4 linked regions of the Lonchura striata genome follow. The protein of the gene in region 2 interacts with the protein of the main gene of each other region in a biochemical or structural test. Links are inferred from orthologs where the notes say so. Each region holds a gene or a part of one and is shown on either strand. Other genes may lie near its edges. The genes, in order: FRMPD4, DLG4, potassium voltage-gated channel subfamily A member 1 and KCNA4.

Region 1 (6,973 bases), on a different chromosome or scaffold from region 2:
GCTGCTAAGGTGCAGTGAAGAGTCTCCATTTAAGATTCTCAGTGACAGATTCTGTCATAAACTAATCTTAATTATATTTATGTTTACCTGTTTCCTCTGTAACTTAACTGCATTATGAAAAGGTTCCTTATTTTTCTGTTAGTAGCAAGCTATCCAGTAATAGCAGACTTGCACGTGGCACTGATGAGTAAGTATCATTTAGGTAAACTAAATATATTTAGAGACACCTTTCATAGTTGTTAGCATGCTATATTTAGAGAGCAAGAGCTGAGTGATGGATTTAGGTAGGGAGGTGTAGGAGAATATGGCTAGAAATTTAAGTGAGGAGTCATCTGTAGCAGTAGCTAAGAAGGGCCTTCAGTGATGATAATGCATGTAAAATCCTTCAGAGAACATTCTCCCTGCTCTTCTCATGGTCAGGGGAGAGAAAATGGCTCTTCCAAAAGGGAGTTCACTGCCCAAGAGAGATACTAGTTTCTGCATCCCATTCCTTGGAAGAGTCACTTTTTCTGTGTCAGCAATAGATCGGGCTAGAGGGGACAAGCGTCACTAAGCCAAAGATTGCTTTTCTGAATACCTCCCACAGGCTCTCTGAGGGCAATGTTCAAGTGAAATATGTATGGAGCATTTTGGATTTCTAAGAGCTGTCTGCTGTCTTTGGGCTTGCTTGGACTTCAGAAGAGATAGGAAACAATGCAGTGGAAATGTGCATATATGAGACCAAGTGGGAAAAATCATGGCATAAAAATTTTTATTCCTTCTTTCTGAGGCTGTCTGTAACATCCTTTTCCATATTGCCAATATGTCTGAGTGTTTGACAGCATTGAAAACCTGGGTTATTTAAAAAACAATCCTTAAGGAGTTTAAAATTCATTGTCTATTTAAAAAGCACAGTCATAGGGAAGGAAAGGAAGGGGAGTGGTGAATGTATGTGGATCCTGGAAGCAGGGCTGCAGAAAGGGCAAATCTGTGTCAGGCTTCTGAAGAGGAACCTTGGCTGATGTGAGTCGTGGTTGGTTTAGAGGGCATTTGCTAAGAGAAATGGTATAGCAAGGGGTGGTGGTACATTTAACTGGGCTGGATCATGGCTTCAGGATGACTTTGTTCCCTCTGTTTTCACATAAACTTTTAGTAGTTCTTAACTTTGCTTGTGATCATTGGTTGCCTCTTCAGTAAAACAGGTGCATCTTTGTTGCCCTCTTAGTTCAGATAAATAAGTTTCCATAGTTTTCTATGGAAAACTATAGTCTGAGACCAGATAACTTCACACTTATGTGTGTTCACATTTCCCCAACAGTTGGAGTCAGCAGTGGCAAGTGTAATTGGGTAATATTTTTGTATAAATTGATTTGGTTTTCAGTTTCAAGGAGGTTCCAAAACAATGAAGCCCTTCAGAATAGCACTGGATTTCATAAGGATATAACATCTCTGCCATCTGTTCTTTAGTGATAACTGATATCTTGTGAAACATTTTTATGACACAGCTATTGTTTTCTTTTTATTTTATAATTTTGTTTTATTTTCTTCAGTTACAGAGCACTGAGCATATTCTTGAAACTAGTCTGTGCCTTACGAGTGTGTCCTGTCTGATGGTACATCAGAATCAGAAATGCAAAAGGTTTCTATCCAGTGCCTGCTTTTTCTCAAAAGATAGGAGCAGCTGCTTGAGCAGTGGACCTCTTAGCCAAAAGTCAAATATCAACCCCTTAAGCACTGTTTGACAGGGATTTGGCAGCTACAGCCATCCTGAAGGGTAAGTAGAGGACAAGAAAGGTGAGAAACGTTGCCCCCTGGTCCCCAGGGTCATGAAGAGCTAGGTGTGTAGGCAAAAATGAGACTCCTGGTTCCTGAGGGGAGAACAGACTGTGATCTGTTCTCTACACATTGGGATGTGCTTCCTGTGCTGCTAGAACTGAGAGCATCCATATTTGAAGGGGGAAAAGAAAAAACATCCCAAATACTGTTAAAAGGAAAAAGTAGGTGTATATAGTAGATAGCCCTGTACCTCTTGATCTTTCAGCATAGCTAGAGATTTTATTCCCTTGCTTCATGCATCATGCCTGGAGCTAATGGCCATGTGTTGTTGAAGTTAAGATTTCTGTGAAATGGCTCTTGCTACCACAGTGGTGCTGTCACTAAGGAGCTGCTCTGACATCTGGCCTGTCCTTTTAATTCCCAGTTTGCTGGATGTGCAGGGTGTGACCTGAACAGGCTTGTTACTGAATGTCTCCTGGATGGAGATGGTCTTTGATGCAAACAGTTGTGCTACCTTGCAGCTGAGGCAGTTGGGTGGCCATGGGAAGAGTAAAATGAGATAAGAGTACAGATGAGATAATCTGCTTATTTAATAATTTCTCAGCAGAAATTTGAAAACTAGAAAGCAGCAACTAGCTGATGACCTGGATGCTTAGGAAAGGGAAATATTATAGTCTAAAAGTCCAAATATACTGATGGACCAAATGGCCTTCTTGCTGTAAAAAGAAAAAAAAAAAAAAAGAGAGAAAACAAAGAAAAAAGTAAAATAAAATTTTGATAATGCTGATAGATGTTACATGTATATGTATGAGGAAAATATCCTTAGAAGAATTTATGTTCTTCATCATTCCAGTCCAAGGAGCTGTTCATTTTCTCCAGCCTTCATAGCAGCAGTAGTATTTCAGTGTTTCTGATGTATTTTTCTTCCATCACATGCTATCCAGTGCCAGATTTACAACCTATGCCAATGTAAGTGACTAGGTACTGTTTCTTCCCACTTCCTCCCAAAATGTATATCCTAAATTTGCCTTCTGGAAAACCTTGGTGCTACAACTAAATATGTTGAAACAATAGATATGAAATAGATAGTGAGGGGACCACTTAGCTCACCAGTTTATTTGGGGTTTATGCTCTGTATTGTTTCCCAGCTGAAGCAGGCAGATATTTAGTGTGTTCCACATTCAGGTGTGCAAATAGAGCAAATAGTTCCTTCAGCAAGAGGAGGAAACCGGGTTTGGGTATAATCTGGTTTACCTGGTGGATGTAGTTGGGTTGTTTTTTTTTTTTCTTTGTCAAAAAACACATTAACAACTTAAACAAGAGGTGTCTGGAAATAGCTATATGTGTGCTCCATAGTAAATTGTAGCGTTTCATCAATTGAATGTAATTGGTAAGCTGTTATTTGAGAGAAACAGACACAGAGGTTTCTCCTTAGCAAATCAGCATTTTGCATGCACAGCATTTCCTTCAAAGATCAGTTTTTTCAACTACCATCCATTTCAAAACACATCATAACAATACAATTCACCAGGGTAAGTCTTTGTTATATGAGGAAACAAAAATAAAAATGTGCCTTAGTTTACTTTGTGGGAATTTCTGTGGTCAGAAATGAGAGTAGGAACCAGCAGTCTCTTTGGGAGTTGTGAGCTCAGGCATTCGATCAGTTGGAAAAGATACTCACAGATGTTAAACCTTCAGGCATCCATGCACTCCATTTGTAACTTCTCTATTAATGAATTTGTGATGATTATACAATTTCAATTTGCCAGAAGAAAAAAAATGGGCTACAATTCCTAAGACGCTATTGTGTTATTCTGGTGTCTTTCACTAAAATGAAAAGCCCTGCATCAAAATGCAGGGTTGTCAGAGGTCTTTCGAGAGTAGATGTGCAACAAGGAAAATATAGAATGAGAGATTAAATGACAAGTGTAGTTTCTTGAAGGAGCTCAATTTCCTTTTCTGAAGAGAAATTTTCTTCAGGATTTGAAATACTATTGCAGCATAGCTACTTGGCAGCTTGGCTTGTTCGTGTGTTATGAGAATGATGCTAATAATTCCTACTGACTGCTGTGACCTCTGCTGGAGGGAAAAGAGTCCATTTCCTTGTAGCCCTTTCTCTCAAAGCCTGATAACATATTCTTAATTTATTTATTTACTACCTGTTTGTTCCCTGCAGCAAATTTCCCTGCCTGCCAGGTGGCTGAGGTAATTTACATTGTCATTTAATTCTTGTCATAGATGTAGTTCAAAAACAAATATCTGATGAAATTTTTAACCTAACACGGCTTCGGTTCTACGGGTGTATGCTTTGTATTCTTTGTGGGGCTTAATTTAACTTTGCCTATGAATGTCTGCCTTAATGTTTACATCCACAGCTACATTTCTGTATTTGTACAACACGCCTTGCTCCGAGCGTTCAGAGATGTCAATGTGTAAGTCTGGATTGCATCACCTTTCTGAGTGCATACCCTGAATCTGCAGTCAGATCTACTCAGTTTGAAGGCTGCTGTTGCAGTTCTGCCTCCATTTAGTTGGAAACTACTGACAGTGGAATCATTTCAGAATAACAGATCTTTGGCTTCAGACTGTGAGGATAGCCACTAATTATGTATTTCTCATTCTTCGGTACTGCAAACATTGGTTTACATTTTGACTTTATGCTCCAGTTCACTAATTAGATTCCTCTTTAAGAAGATGCATGTTTAGTATCATTGTTTTGGAAACATTAAGAGGTTTGGGGTTTTTGTTTGTAGGGTGGAGAGTTTTTTGAGGAGTTTGTTTGTGATTTTGTTGTTGTTTTGCTTGGTTTTTTTTTTTTTTTTTTTTTTTTTTAACATGGAGGACTTTTTGCTGTATCTAAAGCAGGCCTGTCACTGGCTTCAGATCAAGAACTGTCCTTTGCTGTGTTGGCTCTGCCCCAGAGGGGTTGTAGTGTGGAACAGCAGTGAGCACACCTGTGCCTTGTTTTTGCAGGGACTCCAAGCAGTACATTGCAGCCCTGTTGTGTCAAACAGCCAAAACTTTTTGAGCTCTGACCCAAAAAGCATGACTCAGAGTTCTGCTTGCTAGCTCTCAGCAGCCTAGGAGGAGCTTACTAGAGACACACGTAGGGCCACGTGGTGTTTGTTCTCAGCACATTTGTGGGCAGTGTTGTTGTGGTTTGGTTGTAAAAGCAGCCCCCTCAGATGGGGAAACAGGTCAGCAGAGTGCCAGGTTTTGGGTGCGAGTGGGAGGCTTTCAGGGAGGAGTGTGAGATGGAGTTAGCTGCAGCCTTGGAATCTCTGCCTGCTCCTTTCTTCTGGTGAAATGGTGTCTTTCTGTGCCAGCTTAGCTGCCTGTGGTGAGACATGCAGACAAACCAGGTGTTGGAGCCACAGCTGTGACACTGGCAGAAGATGAAAATAGCTGGGAGGGACAAGCCACAGGATTCATGTGATGCCTTAGGTTCTTGTGTGTGGGAGGGAGGGAGCTCAGGGTTCCTGTTTCTGTCATGTCTCTAGGGGCTGGAGAGGCAACAAAAGTTGATGTAGAATGAAGCTTGAGTAGAAGAATCCTAAAGAGGAAAGTTCTGGGAAAAGGGAAGGCTTCTGCAGGACATAAAGTAATTTGGGAGGAATAACAAATGAAAAAGTCTAGATAACCATAGTTTTTTTTCCCTTCAACTTAGCCTGTGTTCTAGCAAACAGCACAGAAGAATCAAAACCCTCAGTATTTCAGAAGGTCAAAATCTAAATTAATGTACTGGGCAAAACCAAAATGGTTCCATTAATGGTGCTGAAAGTATGATCGTCTCTTGCTGGTTGGATTGTTTAAAGGTCTTAATATACCTTTGCTGTTTAGAGGGGCTGTGTTGGCATCTCCATCTTCTCTTGCTCCTTGACAGGCAGATTTTACCAAGCTTACTTCTTCATGTCCAAGGCTTTGACGCTTAGTGAGGGAAGCACTTAAACTCTTGGAGATTATCATTACCATAGTGTGGCACATGGAGAGGAATTTACAAACCTAGAGTCTGTGGTTCTCATCTTTATTGATAGACAAGAATTGATTATAAAAGAACTTCTATGCTATTGAAATTAAAGTTATAAAAGCAAATTCCAGAAGTGGAAACAAATATAACAGTTAAAAAAATAATATATTTTGAAAAAGCCCAAACTTTAGAATCAGTTCTGGGTTTTTTTTTACTTTTTCTATAAAATCTTTATCCTTATTCAAGGGAGCAGTGGAATTTGAACATAGTGATATTTACATAGTAAAGTGTCAAGTTATTTCCTTTTCCTGTAAGATTGATATAATTGATATTTCTATTATCAGGGGAAAAAAGTCTAGCTGCCTGCTTGACATCTCATCATCTCCTTTAAAAATCTTCTAAAGACCTTGTGACAAAAGGCAGTCTTAAGAATCCTAGCAACCACTTATGGATGATAAGATTTATTCTATTGTGAACTTAAGTAGAATAGAAGAAATACAATGGTTGTTGAAATAGGAATGGTGATGTTTAATATATACATCACCTCTACTGCTTTTTTGGGGAGTGGCACTCTTCCTGTAACCAGTCTCCAGCTGCCTCATACTGAGGCAGCACTCTTTGTGTAAAGTATTTAGTTATTCCTTTGTATTCACATGAGTACTTCTCCTTATGTGGAAATCTGAAATACCACTGAGTGGAGGAGTCCTTACAGCATCCATAGGGACAGGTTGTGATTGCATTTCTATGGCTGGTGAAAACCTGAAATGGTGGTGGATGCAGAAGAGTTTGGATCACCTGTACTTAGGGTAATACTAAAATATCTAGATGGCAGCCAGTGTGAGTTTTGTAGTGCCAGCAGTGCAACTTTAAAGCACCTTTAAAGACCAAAGGGTTTGGTTTTTTAAATTATTGTTTGCAGTATTTTCTCTTGGTGTGTTGTGACATTACAGACCCAGGTATGCAATCCTTAGGACTCCAGTGCTGCCCACTTTTCTCCAAATTACATCTCTGTGGGAGTAATCCAAGAAAGATAGAAGGAGGACTTTCTTCTTGATGGAAAAGGACTGAGTTTCTGCATAATCACTGCAATATTCCTTTGTTTGAGTTGTAGTTTGAAGAAATACTTTCACAGGTCCTGTCTCACAAAAAACAATCATGGTTATCTTGACTTCCAAAACTGCTTGTGTACTTCCAGAATGAAGGGATAACATTTCTCATGTTTAGTTGTAGAGTTTGCATCTCTTGATTTGT
Region 2 (7,501 bases):
TGGGGTCCCATTCCCAATTTCGGGGTCCCAAATCCCAATTTGGGGGTCCCAAATCCCAATTTGGGGTTCCCCTCCCCAATTTGGGGTCCCAAATCCCAATTTGGGGGTCCCCTCCCCAATTTCGGGGTCCCAAATCCCAATTTCGGGGTCCCAAATCCCAATTTCGGGGTCCCATCCCCAATTTCGGGGTCCCAAATCCCAATTTCGGGGGTCCCATTCCCAATTTTGGGGTTCCCAAATCCCAATTTCGGGGTCCCCTCCCCAATTTCGGGGTCCCATCCCCAATTTCGGGGGTCCCATTCCCAATTTTGGGGTTCCCAAATCCCAATTTTGGGGTCCCATCCCCAATTTGGGGTCCCAAATCCCAATTTCGGGGTCCCAAATCCCAATTTCGGGGTCCCCTCCCCAATTTCGGGGTCCCAAATCCCAATTTCGGGGTCCCCTCCCCAATTTCGGGGTCCCAAATCCCAATTTCGGGGTCCCCTCCCCAATTTCGGGGTCCCAAATCCCAATTTTGGGGTTCCCCTCCCCAATTTCGGGGTCCCAAATCCCAATTTCGGGGTTCCCATCCCAATTTTGGGGTTCCCATCCCAATTTTGGGGTCCCAAATCCCAATTTCGGGGTCCCAAATCCCAATTTTGGGGTTCCCATCCCAATTTCGGGGTCCCATTCCCAATTTCGGGGTCCCATTCCCAATTTCGGGGTCCCATTCCCAATTTCGGGGTCCCATTCCCAATTTGGGGTCCCAAATCCCAATTTGGGGGTCCCAAATCCCAATTTTGGGGTCCCAAATCCCAATTTCGGGGTCCCAAATCCCAATTTTGGGGTCCCAAATCCCATTTTCGGGGTCCCAAATCCCAATTTTGGGGTTCCCCTCCCCAATTTCGGGGTCCCCTCCCCAATTTCGGGGTCCCAAATCCCAATTTTGGGTTCCCAAATCCCAATTTCGGGGTCCCCTCCCCATTTTTGGGGTCCCATTCCCGATTTTGGGGCGCAGGCGCTCGGCGGCTCCTGGACGAGTTTCTGGGGGTCCCCCCCCGGCTCCGGGCCCGGCAGCTCCTGGGGGTCCTGCAGAGCCGCCTGTTCCAGGCCCTGCTGGGTGCGGAATTTGGGAATTCCGGGAAAATTCGGGAATTCCGGGGAAATTCGGGAATTCTGGGGAGAATTTGGGGGGGATTTGGGGGGAAAATTTGGAATTTGGGGGGCATTTGGAGGGAAAATATGGATTTTTGGGGGGTTTTTAGGGGATTTTGGGGAGAAATTCTGGAATTTTGGGGGAAATTTGGGAGATTTTGGGGGATTTTTGGGGATTTTTGGGTCATCTGGGGGGTTTAGGGGGGATTTTGAGGGGAAATTTGGGAATTTTAGGGGTTTTTTAGGGGATTTTGGAGGAAAATTTGGGGATTTTGGGGAGAAATTCTGGAATTCTGGGGGAAATTTGGGAATTCTAGGAAAAATTTGGGAATTTTGGGGTAAATTTGGGAGATTTTTGGTGAATTTTGGGGATTTTTTGGGGGATTTTGGGGGGTCCTGGGAGGTTTTGAGGGTCCTGCTGAGCCGCCTGTTCCAGGCCCTGCTGGGTGCGGAATTTGGGAATTTCGGGGGAAATTTGGGAATTTTGGGGAGAATTTTGGGGGGATTTGGGGGAAAAATTTGGAATTTTGGGGGGTTTTTAGGGGATTCTGGGGAGAAATTCCAGAATTTTAGGGGAAATTTGGGGAATTTTGGGGAATTTTGGGAAAAATTTGGCAATTTTGGGGGAGTTTGGGGAAAATTCGGGAATTTTGGGGGAGTTTGAATGGGATTTTGGGGGGTTTAGGGGGGATTTTGGGGGCAAAATCTGGAATTTTGGGGGGATTTAGGGGATTTTGGGGAGAGATTTGGGAATTTGGAGGAAATTTGGGAATTTTAGGTGAAACTTGAGAGATTTTTGGGGAATTTTGAGGAATTCAGGGGAAAGTTTGGGAATTTTGGGGGAATTTGAGTGGGATTTTGGGGGGAAATTTGAGGATTTTGGGGAGAAATTCCAAAATTCTGGGGAGAAATTGAAGAAATTTGGTGGAAATTTGGGAAATCTGGGGGAAATTTGGGAGATTTTGGGGAATTTTGGGGGATTTGGGGGAATTTTGGGTGAACTTGGGGGGATTTGGGGGATTTTGGGTGATTTGAGGCGATTTTGGGGATTTTTGGGGGATTTGGGGGATATTTTGGGGGGAATTTGGGTAATTTGGGGGAATTTTTTTGGGATATTTTGGGGAATTTTGGGAATTTTTGGGGATATTTTGGGGAATTTTGGGAATTTTTGGGCTCTCACCCCGTTTTTCCCCCCCAGACATCCAGGAGAGCTACGAGAGCTCCGTGAGCGGCCCCGAGCCCCGGCCCCGGGTAACCCAAAAATCCCCAAAATCCCCCAAATTCCCCCCAAATTTTCCCCTAAAAAAATCCCCACAAACCCCCACAAAATTCCCACCAAAAAAAATCCCCCAAATTTCCTCAAAATCTCCCCAAAAAACCCCAAAATCTCCCCCCGAATAAACCAAATCCTCACAAAAAAAACCAACCCGAAATCCCCTCAAAAATCCCAAAATCGCAACCAAAAAAACCCCCAAAATTCCCCAAAATAACCCAAAATTTCACCAAACCCCAAAATTCCCCCAAAATCTCCGCGTAAAAACCCCAAATACCCCCAGAAAAACCAACATTTCCACCAAAAAAACCCCAAATTACTCCAAAATCTCCACAAAAAATACAAAATCCCAAAATCGCCACAAAACCCCCCCAAAATTCCCCAAAATAACTCAAAATCCCCCAAAATCCACCCCAAATTCCCCCAAATAACCCCAAAATTTCCCAAAAACCCAAAATCTCCACAAAAAACCTCCAAAATTTCACCAAAAAACTCCAAAATTTCCCCAAAAATCCCAAAATCGCCGCCAAAAAAACCCCAAATTCCCCAAAATAACCCAAAATTTCCCAAAAAACCCCAAATCCTCACAAAACCTCCCAAAATTCACTCCAAAATCTCCCAAATTGCCCCAAAATCCCCGAAATCCCCCCAACCCCTCCCCCCCTTCCGCCCCTCCCCCCGCCGCTGCCGCTCCCCCAAAAATCCCAAAAGTTTCTCCCCAAAATCCCCAAATTTCCCCCGAAATTCCCAAAATTTCCCCTCAAATCCTCCTAAAATCCCCAATTTTCCCCCTAATCTCCCAAACCCCAAATTCTCACCCCAAAATTCCCAATTTTCCCCCTCGAATCCTCCCTGAAATCCCAAAATCACGAATTTTCCCCCAAAATTGCCCAAATTTCCCTCGAAAATTCCCAATTTCCCCCTAAATCTCCAAAATTCCCAAATTTCCCCCAGAAATTCCCAAATTTCCCCCCAAAATTCCCGATTTTCCCCCTAAATCTCCAAAATTCCCATTTTCCCCCCAAATTCCCCCCAAAATCCCCATTTTTTCCCCAAACCCCCCAAATTTCCCCCCAAAATCCCCAAATTCCCCTCAAATCCCCAAAATCCCGAATTTTACCCCCCAAAATCCCCATTTTTCCCCTCAAATCCCCCCTAAAAATCCCGATTTTCCCCCAAAATTCCCAAGTTCCCCCCCTAAACCCCAAAATTCCCAAATTTCCCCCCAAACCCCGAAAATTCCCGATTTTCCCCCAAAATTCCCAATTTTTCCACCCCAAATCCCCCCAAACCCCCAAATTTGCCCAAACCCCCCAAATTCCCGAATTTCCCCCCCAAAATCCCCCCAAATTCCCAAATTTCCCCCAGAAATTCCCGATTTCAACCCCCCAAAATTCCCCAAATTTCCCCCCAAAATTCCCCAAATTTCCCCCCAAAATTCCCCAAATTTCCCCCCAAAATTCCCCAAATTTCCCCCGAAAATCCCCAAATTTCCCCCTCCAAAACCCCCAAAATCCCCAAATTTCCCCAAAACCCCAAAATTCCCCAATTTCCCCTCAAAAAATCCCCAAATTTCCCCCTCCAAATTCCCGACTTTTCTGCCCCCAAAATTCCGCCCAAAATTCCCGAATTTCCCCCCCGAGCCTTCATCCCTCCCTCCTCCTCCTCCTCGCGCTGCTCCTCCTCTTCCTCCCCCCGGCGGCTCCTTCATCTTCATCTTCATCTTCATCTTCATCATCTTCATCATCTTCATCTTCATCTTCATCATCTTCATCTTCATCATCTTCATCTTCATCTTCGTCATCTTCATCCTCATCCTCATCTTCATCATCATCTTCATCATCCTCATCATCTTCATCTTCATCTTCATCTTCATCATCTTCATCATCTTCATCCTCATCCTCATCTTCATCTTCATCCTCATCTTCATCTTCATCATCCTCATCTTCATCATCTTCATCTTCATCTTCATCATCTTCATCATCTTCATCATCTTCATCTTCATCTTCATCTTCATCTTCCTCCTCCTCTTCCTCCTTCTTCATCCCCTCGGCTCCTTCATCTTCCTCCTCCTCCTCTTCCTCCTCCCGGGCCTTCCTCCCGCTCCTCCTCCTCCTCCCGGCCCCTCCTCCCGAGCCTTCCTCCTCCTCCCGCTCCTCCTCCTCCTCCTCCCGCTCTTCCTCCCTTCCCGCTGCCGCATCTTCCTCCTCCTCCTCTTCCTCCTCCTCCTCCTCCCCCCAGATCTTCATCCCCTCCATCCTCCTCCTCCTCCTCCTCCTCTCCATCCTCCCCCCCCCGAGCCTTCATCCCTCCATCCTCATCCTCCTCCTCCTCCCGAGCCTTCATCCCTCCATCCTCATCCTCCTCCTCCCGAGCCTTCATCCCTTCATCCTCATCCTCCTCCTCCCGAGCCTTCATCCCTTCATCCCCTCCATCCTCATCCTCCTCCTCCTCCATCCTGGTCCTTCATCCCCCCTCCTCCTCCTCCTCTTCTTCCCGAGCCTTCATCCCTTCATCCTCTCCATCCTCTTCCTCCTCCTCCTCCCGAGCCTTCATCCCCCCCCCCCTTTTCTTCATCCTCCTCCTCTTCCTCCTCCGGGGCCTTCATCCTCCTCATCCTCCTCCTCCTCCTCATCCTCCCCCCCTTTTCTTCATCCTCCTCCCCCTCCCGAGCCTTCCTCCTCCTCCTCCTCCTCCGGAGCCTTCATCCCCTCATCCTCCCCATCCTCCTCCTCCTCCTCCTCCTCCGGGGCCTTCATCCCTTCATCCTCCTCATCCTCCCCCTCTTTTCTCCCTCCTCCTCCTCTTCCTCTTCCTCCCGAGCCTTCATCCCTTCATCCCCCCCCCCCCTCCTCCTCCTCCTCCTCCTCCGGGGCCTTCATCCTCCTCCTCCTCCTCCCCCTCCCTCCCGAGCCTTCATCCCTTCATCCTCCTCCTCCTCCTCCCCTCCCTCCGGAGCCTTCATCCCTTCATCCTCTCCACCCTCCTCCTCCTCCCCCCCATTTTTTCCTCCCTCCTCCTCCTCCTCTTCCTCCTCTTCCTCCGGAGCCTTCATCCTCCCCATCCCCCCCCCCTCCTCCTCCTCCTCCCCCTCCCGAGCCTTCCTCCCCTCCTCCTCCTCCTCCTCCTCCTCCTCGCGCGGCCCCCCCGGCCCATGAGCGGCCGCCATGGATTGTTTGTGCATCGTCACCACCAAGGTACCCCAAAACCGCGCGGATTCCCCCCAAAACCGCCGCCGTTTGTTGGGGGGGGGTCTCGGCAGGATTCGGGCCGATTTTGGGGGGATTTGGGGTTTTTTGGGGGGCTCCTGGGGGTGGGGGGGATTCGGGGTGACTCGAGGGGGGGATTTGGGGGCTCCGAAGGGGTTTTTGGGGGGGCTCGAGGGGTTTTGGGGTGTTTTTGGGGGGGTCTGGGGGGGATTTGGGGGGTCCTGAGGGGATTTGGGGGAGATCTGGGGGTCTCGAGAGGATTTGGGGGGATTTGGGGCTCCTGGTGGGGGGGGGGGATTTTTGGGAGATTTGGGGGGGGGCCTCGAGGGGATTTTGGGGTTTTTTGGGGGCTCCGAGGGGATTTTGGGGGCATTTGAGGGGGTCTCGAGGGGTTTGGGGATTTTTTGGGGGGGTCTCGAGGGAATTTGGGGGCGTTTGGGGGGGTCTGGGGGGGGTCTCGAGGGGATTTTGGGGGTCTCGATGTGGCTGGGGGCAGAATTTGGGGCTCCAAGAGGATTTTTGGGGTCCTGGGGGGATTTTGGGGGAATTTGGGGGTCCCAAGGAGATCTTGGGGGGTCTCGAGGGGATCTGGGGGTCCTGGGGAGGTTTTGGGGGTCCTGGGGGATTTTGGGGGGTCCTGGAGGGGATTTTGGGGGGTCTGGAGGGAATTTGGGGGGTCCTGGGGAGGTTTTGGGGATCCCGAGAGGATTTTGGGGGGATCTGGAGAGATTTTGGGGGGTTCCGATGGATTTGGGGGGATTTTGGGTCTCCGGGGTTGATTTGGGGGGTCCTGGGGGGCTCCGGGTGAGATTTGGGGGATTTGGGGAATTTTGGGGCATTTTTTGGGGTTCCTGTGGTGGTTTTGGGGCAGATTTTGGGGGTTTGGGGGAGAATTTGGGGGGTTTTCCGACCCCTGCTGGATTTTGGGGTTCCCGGGGGGGATTTGGGGGTTTTTTGGGGGTTTTTGGGGGTGGGGGAGGGGCGGTGTCCCCCCAAATCTCGGGGGTGTCACCACGTGGCGGCCGCGGCGTTTCCCATGGCAACGGCGGGGGAGGGGCGGCGCACGTGGGGGCGGGGGGGGGGCCCCAAAATCCCGCCCGGAACCCCCAAAATCCGCCCAAAAAATCCCAAAATCCGCCCAAAACCCCCAAAATCTGCCCAAAAACCCCCAAAATCCGACCAAAATACCCCAAATCCCACCTGAAATCCCAAATCCCGCCCGGAACCCCCCAAAATCCGCCCAAAATACCCCAAAATCCGCCCAAAATACCCCAAATCCCACCCGGAACCCCCCAAAATCCACCCCAAAAACCCCAAAATCTGCCCAAAAAACCCCAAATCCCGCCTGAAATCCCAAATCCCACCCGGAACCCCCAAAAATCCACCCCAAACCCCCCAAAATCTCCTGGAATTCACCCTGAAACCCCAAATCCCTCCCGAAATCCCAAATCTCGCCTGGAATCCCCAAAATACACCCAAAAAACCCCAAAATTCGCCCAAAATACCCCAAATCCCTTCCAGAACCCCAAAATCCCGCCCGGAATCCCCCAAAAGCCGCCCCAAAACCCCCAAAATCTGCCCAAAAACCACCAAAATCTCCTGGAATTCACCCTGAAACCCCAAATCCCTCTCAAAATCCCAAATCCCGCCTGGAATCCCCAAAATACACCCAAAAAACCCCAAAATCTGCCAACCCCCCCCCAAAATCCTCCCCCAAAACCCCAAAATCTCCTGGAATTCACCCTGAAACCCCAAATCCCTCTCGAAATCCCAAATCCCGCCTGGAATCCCCAAAATCTGCCCAAAACCCCCCAAAATCTGCCCCCAAAAAAACCCCAAAATCTCCGAAAATTCACCCTGAAACCCCAATCCCGCCCAAAATCCC
Region 3 (6,867 bases), on a different chromosome or scaffold from region 2:
GCCTCCAATTGTCACAGGGTACATGTCACCATAGCCCACAGTGGTCATGGATACCACCGCCCACCAGAAAGCATCAGGGATACTTGTGAAATGAGACTCAGGTTCTTCAGCCTCAGCAAAATATACCGCACTAGAGAACAAAATCACCCCAATGAAGAGGAAGAAGATTAGTAAACCTAGCTCTCTCATACTTGCTTTGAGGGTCTGTCCCAAAATCTGGAGGCCCTTAGAGTGTCGGGAGAGTTTGAAGATTCGAAAGACTCTTACCAGTCTGATGACTCTCAGGATGGCCAAGGAAGTGGCCTGCTCTCCTTTCTGAGTCCCCTCCCGCTCGGCCATCTCGGTGCCCAGGGTGATGAAGTAAGGGATGATGGCCACAATGTCAATGAAGTTCATTATGTTCTTGAAAAAATCAGTCTTGCTAGGGCAAGCGAAGAAGCGCACCACCAGCTCAAAGGAGAACCAGATGATGCACAGGGTCTCCACAACAAAGAAGGGGTCTGTGAAGATGTTAGATTTGTAGACCTGGGTGGTGTTGTCAGTGCGGTGCACTGTGTACTCCTTGTCCTCCTTCAGCTCAGGTAATGTCTCTAGGCAGAAAATCACGATGGAGATGAGGATCACCATGACAGAGACTATGGCAATAACCCTTGCCGGCCCAGAGCTCTCTGGGTACTCAAAGAGGAGCCACACTTGGCGCTGGTACTCCCCCTCCGGCAAGGGTCTCTCCTCATCTTTAATGAATCCTTCATCTTCCCGGAACTTCTCCATGGCCTCCTCGCCCAGCTCATAAAATTTGATCTCCTCAGAGAACATGTCCAGGGGGACATTGACGGGCCGGCGCAGCCTCCCCCCGGACTGGTAGTAGTAGAGGATGGCGTCGAAGCTGGGCCGGTTGCGGTCGAAGAAGTACTCGTTGCGGAGCGGGTCGAAGTAGCGCATGCGCTTCTTGGGGTTGCCCAGCAGCGTGTTGGGGAACTGGGCTAAAGTCTTGAGCTGCGTCTCGAAGCGCAGCCCCGCAATGTTTATCACCACGCGCTCACAGCACTCGTGGTCGTCGTGGGCAGCGGGCTGGTAGCTATCCTGGGGGTGGCCAGGTAGCGCAGAAGTCTCGTCCATGTTCTCTCCAGCCATCACGGTCATGGTGGCACAGAGGAAAGGGGACCAAGGGGCAGGGGAGAAGTGAGGGAAAGGGAGGAGGAGGAGGAGGAGGAGGAGGAGGAGGATGGAGGAGCACAGGGAGACCCAGGGCGATGCAAGGGTGAGGGGGTCAAGGTGGGATGGGGAGCTTGAGGAAGGGGTGGAAGTGGAGCCTAAGGGATGGAAATACCCAAAAGGGGAAATGAGAGGCGGGATGAAGGGAGAGGCATCAGGGACGATGGAAGGGTGAAGAAAGAGGGAAGAAGTACCTTTAGGGGGGGCAGAGGGCAGGTAAGGTGAGGGGTCCTGTCCCCCACACCGGGAGGCTGAAGGTCTATGGAGTGCACCCCCAGGCTGGGGTTCCCCTCCCCAGCCGTCTCCTTTAGCCTTTAACTCGATCCGTCCACTTTTCTCGCTGGCTCGACCATCGCCGCAGCTGCTGCCACGAAGCTACCACACACACACATGCACACGCACACACACATACACATAAAATAAATAAATAAATATAGAAATAAATATATAAATCACGGGCTGGCTGGGAGGCGAGTCCTTGCAATGCCAACTCAGCAAATTTTCCATCACCTGCCTCTTCCTTCCCGACTCCCACCACCACCACCACTGCCCTGGTCCTCTCCTCTTTTGCGCTTGGGAGGGAGGGAGGGAGGGATGGAAACACTCTGCTTCGAAGGCTTAAACCTCACTTGCAGAATGGGGGCTGCCAGGGAGGAGAGAAACAGAATAAACCAGCCCCCGAGCCCCTCCACATACACACACACACTCAGGCGCAATGGATTGGCTTTCACACCAGCAGGAACATCCCGTTCTGCTCACTACGGCAGCACATGCGGAGTTCTACGCGTTCCTACACATCCCCGGACATGCACCAAGGCCTCCAAGGCAGGAAGGTGCCCCGAACTCATCGGGAGGGTTTCCCAGGAAACTTCAGCGGGGTCAGCTCCTGCAAGGAGCCTCCCGAGCACCGCGCTCCCCGCTCTGGAGACTTAGCTGAGCACTGACAACTTCATCACACCAACCGGGTGGCGGTGGAGGAGGAGGAGGGGGGGGGGGAGATTAGGAGGGGGAGAGCAAAGCATCTCCTCTCCTGCTTTGCAGCAGCTAAAGGTAACTGAGAGAGAGACAAGGGGAGGGAGGTCGACATCCCAGACCCAAAGCGTCCAAAATTGAGTGGAACATCGGCAGGGAGAAGGGGCTTTTCCTTACCTGCTCCGGGTGAGACGCGCCGCTTAGGAGTAGGAGCCAGTGCCGGAATGCGTCAAGTCGCCTTGCAGCAGCATCCAAAAAAAAAAACAAAACCAAAACAAAACAAAAACCGCAGTGGCAAACTTAACCCTCCTCCTCTTGCGCCCCTCTTTATAACGCAGCGATCGCTTTACAGGGCTGCCTGCGAGACACTGAAATATTCATACACTGTCTTAGGCTGCACCAAGGGCGAGTGGGCTTAATTAGTTTCTGCCGAGAACCGCAGTGGGGGGTGGAGTGGAAAAGAGCGCAAAGTACCTTTTCCAAAAGGCTTGAGTTAGTCAGTAAAATCAAGGAGTCTTAGATAGCTGCTGGCTGTCCAGCTCTCCTCCCTTAGGACAGCTGGAAAAGGAGCCGGGCGCTGGTTAGCGGCGGCGGCGGAGATGTCAGAGCGCCGCAGCCCTGCAGCCGCATCCCCGGAGTCGGGCTTGGCTCGTCCCGGCAGCAGCAGCGGCGGAGGCAGGAGGAGGCAGGAGCTGGACAGGGCTGCTGAACGCATAAGAGCGAGGAGCAAACTCCAGCCATTTCTTGACGCTGCAGCATCAGCAGAAACCTGAGAGCTGTTTGGTGCAGCTCGGGGACCGGGAGGGCGGGGGAGCCGGGGGCCGGGGCCGGTGGAGGAGGGAGGGATGCGCGCTGCCCCCGGGCCGGCCGCCCCCGCACGCTGCGCGCCGCGCCCCCGACGCAATGCGGGCGGCTCCGGGATGGGGCTGCGGGATGGAGCCGGCAGCATCCCGGCACGGGAGCCACGGGCAGCCCGCTCAGGTGCGCTGAGCAGCCGCTTCCCGACGCGCCCAGGGACGGCGGGACAGCGCTCGGTCCCCCCGCAGCACCTGCGGCGGAACGGGGCCGAGCATCCCGCACGGAGCGGGGCCGGGCATCCCGCACGGAGCACATCCCATACGGAGCGGGTCCGAGCATCCCTCACGGAGCACATCCCGCACGGAGCGGGGCCGCACATCCCGCACGGAGCGGGGCCGAGCATCCCGCACAGAGCGCATCCCGCACGGAGCCTGGCTGCGGCTCCCGATCCCCCTGGCCCCGGCCCGCCTCGGTACCGAAGGAGGCTGCACAACCGGAACCTCCCGACACGCTGGTGGAGGCTAAAAATCCCGAGCGGAGTGGCTGGAATTGGGAGGGTTAATGGTCAGGCAGGGACAGTGCCCTTCCATACTGCTTTATCCCAGCGAAGTTGTTTAATTGATGAATCGCACAACTTCGAGGTGGAAAAGACCCATTATGTCATCAGCTGGCCTCCCCTGCCAGCACAGGATTGTTGCCCACAGTGTCTGATCGCTTACATTATATAAAAGCCTGCTGCTCGCTTTGTCAGGGCGGCAGCGGTGATCAAATCCAACCCGTGCCTGTGTAATTTGAAGCGCTCCAAGAGCTGAGTAACACCAAGTCCGTGTTTAACAGACCTGGTCTCATTAGCTTTCCACTGCATAATACATTAACTTCACTTAAGATCACCACCTTGGAAGTCCAAAAATACTTAACCACCTGACCTTCCTGGTGGTTTCTGTTTCTTCTTCCTTTCCCCTTACTTATGCCCATGTTTTGTTGTTTGGGGTGAAGTTTTTTGATGATGTTGTGGGTTATTTTTTTTTTTTTTTTTTACCAGAGCAAAAACCCTTTTAAAAACCTCTACCCCTGGCAGTGCTTCGATCACTAGTTAGCATGCTGCATTCACCATCCCTGTGGAAAGATAAGTGCAAAGAAACAAACAGATCTCCTGTCTAGCCTGGTACAAGGGTGGGGTTTGCTATTGTTTGTTTTGGGTTTTGTTTGCTTGTTTGTTTTTGGGTTTGTTTTTTTTTTTAGTATCACACATGCTGAAAGTTTTGTGAGAAACTTCTGGTGAAGCTGTGGGCAAGAGAAATGTCTGCCTCTGCCACTCCCAGGTGAAACAATCAAAACACGAAACAAAAAGAGAGAGTCTTCTTCCAGTGAAAAATAAAGCCCAATTTTCTGTCTGAAGTTCAGCAGCTCAGCATCAGCCCCCAGCCTTGGACCATGCAAAATCTAAACACCCCCAAAAAACAAAAGGCTATTCCCATCAGCTAAACCAACCAGGCTGTTTTTCAACCCCTTGAGAAGCCCAGTGACAGCCTTCTTGTCAACCTCCTCTTATGGCAGTGAATTGCATGCCTGGCTGCCACAGCTGGCTGCGCAGAGTTCTGGGAGCTCTGCACTCGCTGTGCTCAGAGCTGCTGGGCAGAAGGAGCTCTGGAAGTGAGCACTTTGTCCCCCTGTCCCAGCCCAAAGGATGCTCTGGATTGGGCTGAAAATGCAGATTTGACAAGCAGAGGCCCGAGCTCTCGGTGCTGCTCTGCCCTTGGCTTTCTGCAGGATTGCAGGCAGGGCTACACATTCTGCTTTTGCATCTGGAAAACAGGACTGTAAAGTGCTTCCTTGCCTGTCACAGCTCCTTAGGCTGCTGGCTTCTGAGAGCTGCCTTAGCACAGCAGAACCCAAATCTTCGTCGGGAGCTGTGTGCACAGAAATAAAAGAGGAGTGATAGCAACCTTAGCTTTCCCATTGCACCAAAAGCACAAATTGGGATATTGCTCTCCCCTCTCCTCATTTTGAATAGCTTTGGACTGTGGGATTTCTCTTTGCAGTCTAACTACCATTACTGACAAGCAGTCACACGGGAAGGGAGGGATCTTTCTAAGTGGGCTATTAGCCATAGGTCAATAAAATCTGGTTAAAGTACACAGACTAATGAACAGTGTAACTAGGGCTTGCAAGAAGGTCGTATGTTACACATTATAGGGCTAAGTAGCTTCAATTAAATGTTGAGGAATGGAAGGAGAATCCAGCTTGCTGCCAAATTCAAAGTCAGGCTGCTTCTATTTTCTACCTTCTACATTAGCAGCAGCTGAACTGGTCACCCCCCCAAAGAGCCACACTGAGAAGTTCTCTTCAGGATCAAAATTTTTTCAAAAGGAAACTAAAAATTGTAAAAATTTGAGCAGCTTTTTGTGGTGGGAAGTCTGGTGGTACTGTTGTGATGAGAAAGAGCAGCAAGGGGGATTTTTTTTGTTGTTGTTTTCTTTTTTTTTTTTTTTTTTGAAAGAAAGAATCAAGTTGTTTATTAAAAAATCTTGTGTGATGTGAAGATTTAAAAAAAAATTGTATTGAATGAATGTGACTCTGAAACTGGTTTAAAAAAATAAGCATTGGCTTTATACAGTGAAACAGGCTTTTAATATTGTCAGCAGGGAACCTGGAAAATCCTGATTGAAATCAATGGATGCAGAAGCACAGTGGATTTCTGAGCATGGCATCATTCCCGTAAGTGTCTTGAATGCCCCCCAAAATTTCCTCACCTGAAAGAGACATTTTGTGAGATAAAAACCATTGTGAAATCCAGTGGCAAAGGATGTCCTGGTTGCTTGAATACTATGGATGCTCACAGGCACTGTAATCCCAATGCATCTAAGCCTGGAAACCAACCTGGACACATTATAGTTTCATTCTGAGCTGCCTGAAGCCACCAATGAGTTGTGCAGGTGTCATCACACACCTCATTTAATGGCCTTGGGAGGCAGAGGATAAAGTGAGATGTTCTGGCCCCAGTTTGTGGTGCAGAGGCTCTGTCAATCCTTCTTGGATTCATAAAATGGAAAGAGTCAACAGATGGAACCAAAGGGGAGCTTGTGGTGTTGACAGTTGGGTTTTCTTCCTCGAGGGCAACAAAGAATCCTTTAAAAGCTTTTAATCTTTTTGCTAATATCCTTCAGTATTACTGTGCATTTTTTGTGACCAGGATAATCAAATCTCATGCTTCAAAGAATATTGATAGCTGATGGGAGATGACAATTACTTTGGTTGCCTCTTGTTATATAATTTAATTTTTTCTCCCGTTCCCTTTTAAAGCCTTAAAAATGGGCCCTCTGTGATCAAAAAAGGAGTGGACCTGTTGCTACACAGAAGGAAGACAAGAGCTTGGGAGTTATCCCTGTGAAGAAGGAAACAGAAACTGCCCTCACTCATATGATAGTTGTGCCATTTGGACCAGCCTGGAGAGAAAAGATGTCCCTGCCTTGCCTCTACATCCCACATCAGCAGGCTGGAAAGGTGCAGAGTGTGGCAACACAGAATGGCTGGGCAGAGAAGAACAAAAAATGTTCTTTATTAGGTTGGGGTTGAGCTTTCTTCTGTCCTCCTCAAAAGTAGTTATATAATAGATAACAAAATATATATAAATATATAAACAAAGTGCCAATCCACTGCTGAGCATATTCAGGTTTTTAACACACAGGACTTTTTAGTTAATGGGAGCCACTTTTGGCTTCCCATAATTGGATGATTTAGTACAAGATTTCATAAAAACACCAAAGCAAGAACATATTTATCAAGAGTGCTGCTGGCCACCAAGTGCAGAGAGCAGAGAGTGACCTTTCCCCATGTCAGGAGGAGTGAGCACCACTGTCAGAGAAGGGAACAACTGAGGAG
Region 4 (7,399 bases), on a different chromosome or scaffold from region 2:
CCCAGAGATTCATCTGGAAGCTGCATCTGACTGCCATCAAATTATGAACCATGACACCTGTGTGCCTACTGCAGTTACAGCCCTGAATCTTTAGCAGGAAATGTTCTAGTCCAGTAAATTTATATTTATCATCTAATTTATGTGTAACAATCTCTGTAAGTAGAGCTTTCTAGTATGGTTTGGACTGCTACAACTACAATGGTGTATTTTGACTTGCAGTCTGATCCTACAGTTCCCTCATCCATGTCTTCCTTTTCTTAAATAGAAATCATAAAACATATTTATTAGAAATTTACCATCATCTATCTTCTAGAACTTCATAGAAATATCCTTTTTTTGCTTATAAATATATATGGGAGCTACATTTAATGTCATACTTAACATCTAAATTTTCTCTCTTTATGTGCTTCTTCACATAACAGTTTGCTGCTGCATGTTCTTGGAGCATGAGATGCCAGAAGTTCCAGCTAACAATTATTATATATTTTAACAGGAATAGTTTTGAGCTCTTGTCATACACATGTTTCTTTCCAGTTGTTCCTCAAGTCACGGTTAGCATCATAAGGCAAATTTACATTAATTATTATCCTACTGTCTGCTTTTTCTGCAGAATATTCCTTATAAAATCCCAGGGAGAAATAAGTCTACTATGCCCTCGTAATGCTTTTTGATCTGGACAAAAATATATGCAAACAGGGATTTTTAACAGCATCTGATATTTCCAGGTTTTATAATCATTACGTTTTCTGTCAGCATAGTTGGAAAATTGGGTATTCAGAATAATACATTTATTCTTAAATGCAGAAATAGAGCAAATCCAATGATATGGTAATTTAAGTAATTCTGTGAGGCTAATTCATCTCCTTCATGATTTAATTAAAATAACAGTTTCCAGACTGCAGATCCACCCTTTTCACTACTACTAGGCATATCTAAAAGAAGGCGCAGTGAATGATCCAGGTTCTCCCATTTCAGCTAAAATCAAATTATTAGGAGAGAAAAAAAGAGAGGTGATAAATAACCCTTGTTATACTGGATAGAAAAAGGATGTCAGCATTATGATTGATGTGGCTGTGGGTATCTTGGAAATCTGGTTTCTCATTTAGCAGCTTTCTCTCCAGACTACTCTTTTTTTTTTTTTAAATTTTTCACTATTGTCGTTTTTCAGAATAGACTTGATATGAGTCCCTGTTTGCTCAGAATGAATGGAGAAATATCCAAGTCCAAAAATAGAACATACGTGGTATTTTTATCCTGTTTTCTGAGTAAATCCAAGCTCTGGTACAGGAAATCATTCTCCCAGTAAAAATATCATCAGTTTTTACTGCTGTTCATCCTAAACTCAGTGGTAAATGGCCATGGTTTTGCAAACTTTCCCTGAGAAAATATGAAAGGGCTGCTGTTCTCTGGAGCATCAACTTCCTTGGATTATCCTGCTGAAGCACAAGGAATGAACAGATGTGCTTTTCATACAGGTTGTGTGGAAGAACTAGACTGAGGATAGGCTGCATTTTAGTCTGCCAAGTGTCTCATTAAACACTGCCAGTCATATTCAAAAGAAGAGTACTTGAGCCAGATTCTTTGACAGGAGAGTCTTACAGAGCCTAGTTAGTAAAATATGAATAAAATATGAACTTCCTGAAGTTCAATTCAACAACCGCTGGGAGACAAAACTTATTTGTGGAGGCAAGAATTCACTGCTATACTTTGGTACCTAAGGGTCTCCAGCACTAAACAGCTGAGAGGAGAGGGAAATGCAAGTTCTGAATCATGTCTCAGCACATCTGAAATGCTGTAGTGACCAGTCTTTTCACCTGATAATCCTGAGCTCCCACTGCTGCAAGGTTTTGCTTGTTTTGAAAGGAGCCCCCAATCTTACAGGACCTTGGATGTGTTGCCTTGGAGGGGAATAGAAATAACAGTGAAGCAAGCCTAGGGAAGAGCAGAAGAGCAAAAAGAGAAGGCTAAAAGGAAAGTAGAATTATTCATGGTCTGGAAGTGCAGTAGTACTGTAGTTCAGTCTTATTCACTGCAGAGATTACAGCAGGGAGGTGAGGGCTGGACTGAGGACAGACCCTGCCAGTGTGAATTTCAGCATAAATTAATATTGGGCATAGGAACATAAAAGAACTTTGTAAATCTCATGTTCCCTTTGCATGGAAATGTATTACGTCGTTGTGCATTTTTTCATAGCTAACCAGTGGTGCATATTTCTCACCTGCATCACAGTAAAACAGGACAAACCTGTGTGACAGAGATCTTAGAGATTCTTTACTATGATACAACATCTCTATCAAAGATAGTGATGTGCAGATATTCTCTCTTTGTTCTAATAAGGGATAATGATATTATCCCTTATCAATGTGAAGGAGCAGAGGAAATGTAATAGCTCTCAAATAAAAACTGTTCTCTGAGTACTATGAAAATAGAAAGCTGAATGAAATGAGTCAAAGTATTTATCTGCATATACTTAAAGCTTGTTTTTTGCTTTTAAATTAGTTAAAAATTGGATCAAGTTAGATCTCTGAGCTAGATTGAAATGCATGTGGTTACGTGATCCCTATTACATTAGAATGGATTTTAAAAAGCACAAAAAAGCCTTCTGCTTCTCCCATTGTCAGTTATGTGTGTATCACGTGTGCATAGAATCCTACACCACAGTTTGTTTATCTTTGCCCGAGAACATGCTTTAGCTAATAAAAACAAAATAACAGTGCTCAAAAAGGAATACCAAAGTGATTGGTCTGTTTCTACTTGTCTTTTTCACTCAGATGTCCACTGAAAATTTCATTTTAACAGTCACAAGATAACGTAAGACCATGCATCTGAGATTTTGAAAGAGAAGTAGAAGGTAAATAAGTCATTATCTTTTATCCCAAGTCCTTGAAACATCTCAAAAAAGAAATAAAAGGGTGTTCAAATTCTACAGATAAAGGGCAACAAAAGATTTGTTAGGGTCGAAATGACTGAGCTCCGGAAAATGCCCCAGAATTAAACTTTACTGATGAAGGAGTGAGTCTAGGTGATCCTAATGATTCCATAAGTTTACCTATGATAACTGGTATTTTTATGGCTTCATACATGTCCTTGTGTTGAAGTGATGGTAGGGGTTTGATCCATGACTTTGGTATGCCCCTGTGCCAGGTTACAGAAGAATCTGAGGTTTGGTATTAGAAATTAATTTATAGATGTTTTTAACTGTTTTTGAACCCAGATTTTGGGTTGCTTTTGTGCTGACAGGAGACAGTATTTTAATGGTGTTTGGGATGACATTAGTGATTTATTATATTGACTATGGAACCTGAAGTATTGTGAATGTTAAAAAAAAACAGTTAGCTCTAGGTGCTATTTATGTGTTTCACGGCACTGTTGGCACGACTTGGTGCCTGGCAGGCAATATGTTGATTTGGCTGATCCCCTATGCTCCCCTAAATAGTCATAGGTCATCCACTGACATGAGTGGGATGAAAGGTATGGGCAATAACTGATGTAGGCAGCAGAAGTACATGGATAATGTGGGTTGTGCTGCTGGGGATCTAAAGGGAAATAGCCACTGGGCTCTCTTGGTTGCTCTATGGAGGAGGAGCTAGGTCATGAGAGAAATGCCCAACCTATTTGCTGCACATGTTGGATTTGTCTCCAGTTGCAAACCCTTTGTGGCAAAGTGTCTGGTGTTGGCGCTGCCTTTGATTGCTTCTCGATTCAGTCTTTTTCTCCATGAGGGGAGTGCTTGCAGTTTGTACTGAGGTGGTAGAATTGGAGGTGGAGGGTCAAATATAGCCAAGCTGTATTTCCATGGCCATCCCTTACAGGGAGTGGAATGTGCCACAGCTTCAGTTTTCCAGGTGCAAAAGGAACAGGCAGTCTATACCCTGCTCGTGCTGCAGCGGGGAGAGGGAATTTGTTGCAGGATTTGAGGTGTTAACTCCCAAACACAAAACGGTACCCTCTAGCCATGAACTAGGTAGGACCTGCTTTCTGTTCAGGCACAGAACTAGGAGTGAAAGTTGACTTGGCTTCATTTGCGACAGGGCTGCAGGAGCAGAAGGAATGTTTGCTCGGCTCGGGGCCGAGCGAGGCAGCGCCGTGCAGGTGCGGGCACATCTTCTCTCCTCGTGCCAAATTTGATCCGGGCTTGGCTTTGGAATTCTCCGAGCGACCTCAACAAAGCGTTTCGCTTCCTTCGGGGCGCGCCCAGAGCAGCAGAGGCCGGTGCTGGCAGCATCGCTCGGGGCGGACAGCTATCGACTCCGGTAACGGCGGCGTTAACAGGGCGCGGGGGCAGGAGCCGTGCCGAGCCGAGCCGTGCCGTGCCGAGCCGAGCCGGCGCAGTGCGGGCGGCGGCCGGCAGGGGCCGGCGGCGGGCCGGGAGCGGCGGCAGCGGCGGGCGGCGGCTCCGGAGCAACAGGGCCGGCTCGGAGCGCCGGGGGCGCGGTGCCGCGGACTGGCCCAGCTCCCGGCTCCCATCATCCGCCGGCTCCCATCTTCTCCCGGCTCCCATCCGCTCCCGGCTCCCATCATCTCCCGGCACCCTCGGCCGCCAGCAGCGCCCGCCCGCGCTCCGGCCGGCGGCTCCCCGGCCGCGTCGCCCCGAGTGGGAGCAGCCAACAAGTGGATGGAGCGGGCGGCAGCCGGCTGAGCCCCGGACGTGCCGGGGGCAGGCGCCGCACGGAGCCGGCCCCGTCCTGCGTCCGCCGGAGCCCGGCTCCGCGCACGGATTTAGCCAGCGCTGATTTACGGAGCTGCCGCCCGAGCCGGGCTCGCCGGGACCGGCGGTCGCGCCTGCTCCGCCTCGCACACGCCAAGCACACGCACACCGCCTTCGTTTTCCCCGTGGGGACGAGACCCTCGCTCCTTGCCTTGTGGCCGATGCCGAGGCGAGCGGCTGTGGCGGTGCGCGGTGCCCCCAGCCCCGGCCGCCTCCCCGGCTCGCTGCCCCGGCAGCCGGCTGGAAGGGGCAGGAATAACCCGCCAACCTGTGGTGCGCACTGACCACAGCCACCTGCGAGCGTGGAGCAGCCGGCACAGCCCCTCCGCGCTGCTGTCCCCCGCTCCTTACACCAGCGGGAGCAGCGCTGCTATTTCTCTGCCTAGGATCGGTAAGTATAACGGTGTTTTTAGGCTTTTCTTCTGCATGACATGTAGGTACGATTTGAAAAATAGCGTCGTTTAATAGTTCGCGTTCACCTTCTCTGGTGTATTAATAGATGTGGCTATAAATGAGGCTTCTGTTTCAAAGGGGGGTGTGAGGGGCTGTGGGTATTTTTGTGTGTGTGCTTGCATGTAGACGTTGCTTCAGTGCACCTGCAGTTGTTTTCTTGACATATCAGGGTATTTTCACTTGGCTAAGCATTGTACGTGCCCGTTTCCAAATTAAATCCAGTGAGATGTTCATTGTGACCGAAACACAATTCTGCTGTGGATTAAAATGTAACATTCCCGCATCTGATGCGTTTCTGCAAATACAACAAAAGCTCTTTGTCAAGATACATTTATTCTTTAACGTTTCGTATGGATACATGGAGGTGTATCTCTTACGTATGTGCTCAAAGACCTGAATGCATTGTGCGTTGCAGTATTTTTATTAGTGTTTATATGTGTTGGTGTTTCAGAAGCATGCATATGTTTGTGTATGGATGCAAGTGCTTGTATGGGTGGGGATTTTGTATCTGTCTCTATATATATGTGACATACCCACCCACATCCTTACCCACAGAGTCGTTCAAAATCTCTGTGCATGTGATGTGGGTGTGTGTGTAATGTAGAAGTGTGAATAGTGTGGGCAGGAGAAGATTTGAATGCCATGGTAATAGATGACACAGTTTCATTTGATCGGTTGACCTTTTAGGAAAACAATCCAATCTTTTCCCTTTTTGTTTTGTTTATTTTTGTGTGTTTGTGCATGTGCCTCAGGTTAAGTGCTTCTTCTGCATGACCATAACCAAAGGGTGACCCATCCACTCCCCTGTGTCCCATGGGGACCTCAGAGCCAGTTTCTCAGTCTTCATCTCCTCCTCCTCCTCTTACCACTGCTGCTGATGCCCTGGGTGCTGCTCCCAGGTTTGAGACATTGTTGACAGGCTGAAGAATGGATTTGTAAAGACCTCCTCACTGTGTAAATGAAGTGATGGCTGGAATTAACTTCAACTCTCCAAGTAAGGACATTAAACAATACGTTTGCTAGGCCAAAGCATTACCAGGAACAAATAATGAGCAAAGAGTCTATTTGCATTTAGTTTTAATGATGAGCTAAAACTGTCTGCGGAGAACAGGTACCCTTTGGTTTGCATATTCTTTTCCTGAGGAATGCAGCCTTTATAGCCTGCGAGGCAGTCGTGATTCTGATCAGATACAGCTGTGATGGCTGCAGGAGATAAATGAAAATAAAGGGCCTTGGTGGATGGAAGAACAAGGTCTCAGCTGTTCTCTGGTCCGATCTGAGAATTTCATCTTTTCTCATTAGCGAAGCAGTAGCTTGTGTCAGACGTTCTGGAGAAGAGGAAAATGCGGATGTGTGGTTTTCCAAAGTACAGATTCAGTGTTGTGACCACGTTGCCACACTTGATGCGCAGCAGACTGTCCTCCAAACGCAAATGGCTTTGAACTTCCCAGCGAAGGTCGCGGTGGTGCTGTAAATAACGCAAAACCCTGTTACGGCCAGCGGTTACGAACAAAACCAAGCAGCTGCAGGATGGAGGTCGCCATGGTGAGCGCGGACAGCTCCGGCTGCAGCACCCACATGCCCTACGGATACGCGGCCCAGGCACGGGCCCGGGAGCGGGAGCGGCTGGCGCAGTCCAGGGCGGCGGCGGCGGCGGCTGTGGCGGCAGCCACGGCGGCGGTGGAAGGTGGGGCGGCGGGCGGAGGGGGACCCTACCACCACTACCACCAGGAGCAGGCCCGCGGGGCCTCCTCCTCGCACGGCGGGAGCGCCTCGCGCAGTGGCCTGCCCTGCCGCCAGAGCGGTAGGAGGAAGAAGGGCAAGAAGAGGAGCCACCGCTTGGGGAGCAGGGAGTGTGGCGCCTCCTTCCCCTGCTCCGAGCTGCTGCCGCTCAGCGGCTCTGAGGAGAGGATACTGAAGGACTTGAGCGAGGAGGAAGAGGAGGATGTAGATGAGGATGAAGATGACGAGGAGGAAGGGAAGCTCTACTACAGTGATGACTATGGGGAGGATGAGTTTTCATACTCGGACCAGCCACCCGATGACGGTGGAGGCCCCGGGGGTTACAGCTCCGTCCGCTACAGCGAGTACGAGTGTTGTGAGCGCGTGGTGATCAACGTGTCGGGCCTGCGGTTCGAGACCCAGCTGAAGACGTTAGCTCAGTTCCCGGAGACGCTGCTGGGGGATCCGGCCAAGCGGGGAAGGTACTTCGATCCTCTCAGGAACGAGTACTTCTTC

The links.
Region 1: the proteins of DLG4 (region 2) and FRMPD4 interact in a biophysical measurement, tested with the Homo sapiens proteins (2 studies listed by IntAct, with this or other methods). The link is inferred for Lonchura striata from reciprocal best matches to the Homo sapiens genes DLG4 and FRMPD4.
Region 3: the proteins of DLG4 (region 2) and potassium voltage-gated channel subfamily A member 1 form a complex in vitro, tested with the Homo sapiens proteins (3 studies listed by BioGRID and IntAct, with this or other methods). The link is inferred for Lonchura striata from reciprocal best matches to the Homo sapiens genes DLG4 and KCNA1.
Region 4: the proteins of DLG4 (region 2) and KCNA4 form a complex in vitro, tested with the Homo sapiens proteins (8 studies listed by BioGRID and IntAct, with this or other methods). The link is inferred for Lonchura striata from reciprocal best matches to the Homo sapiens genes DLG4 and KCNA4.

What each region holds. Positions count from the first base shown.
Region 1 is NC_134604.1:98,557,576-98,564,548, forward strand, and holds the start of FRMPD4 (FERM and PDZ domain-containing protein 4), read left to right. Parts: upstream 1-3,967; 5' UTR 3,968-4,098; coding exon 4,099-4,187; intron 4,188-6,973. UniProt on the Homo sapiens protein: Positive regulator of dendritic spine morphogenesis and density. Required for the maintenance of excitatory synaptic transmission. Binds phosphatidylinositol 4,5-bisphosphate.
Region 2 is NC_134636.1:1,785,967-1,793,467, forward strand, and holds the start of DLG4 (disks large homolog 4), read left to right. Parts: upstream 1-4,488; 5' UTR 4,489-5,574; coding exon 5,575-5,604; intron 5,605-7,501. UniProt on the Homo sapiens protein: Postsynaptic scaffolding protein that plays a critical role in synaptogenesis and synaptic plasticity by providing a platform for the postsynaptic clustering of crucial synaptic proteins.
Region 3 is NC_134607.1:4,304,977-4,311,843, forward strand, and holds the start of potassium voltage-gated channel subfamily A member 1, read right to left. Parts: upstream 3,006-6,867; 5' UTR 2,662-3,005; exon of another isoform or gene 2,426-2,661; 5' UTR 2,365-2,425; intron 1,591-2,364; exon of another isoform or gene 1,314-1,590; 5' UTR 1,144-1,313; coding exon 1-1,143. UniProt on the Homo sapiens protein: Voltage-gated potassium channel that mediates transmembrane potassium transport in excitable membranes, primarily in the brain and the central nervous system, but also in the kidney.
Region 4 is NC_134608.1:61,417,328-61,424,726, forward strand, and holds the start of KCNA4 (potassium voltage-gated channel subfamily A member 4), read left to right. Parts: upstream 1-4,397; 5' UTR 4,398-5,099; intron 5,100-5,913; 5' UTR 5,914-6,691; coding exon 6,692-7,399. UniProt on the Homo sapiens protein: Voltage-gated potassium channel that mediates transmembrane potassium transport in excitable membranes. Forms tetrameric potassium-selective channels through which potassium ions pass in accordance with their electrochemical gradient.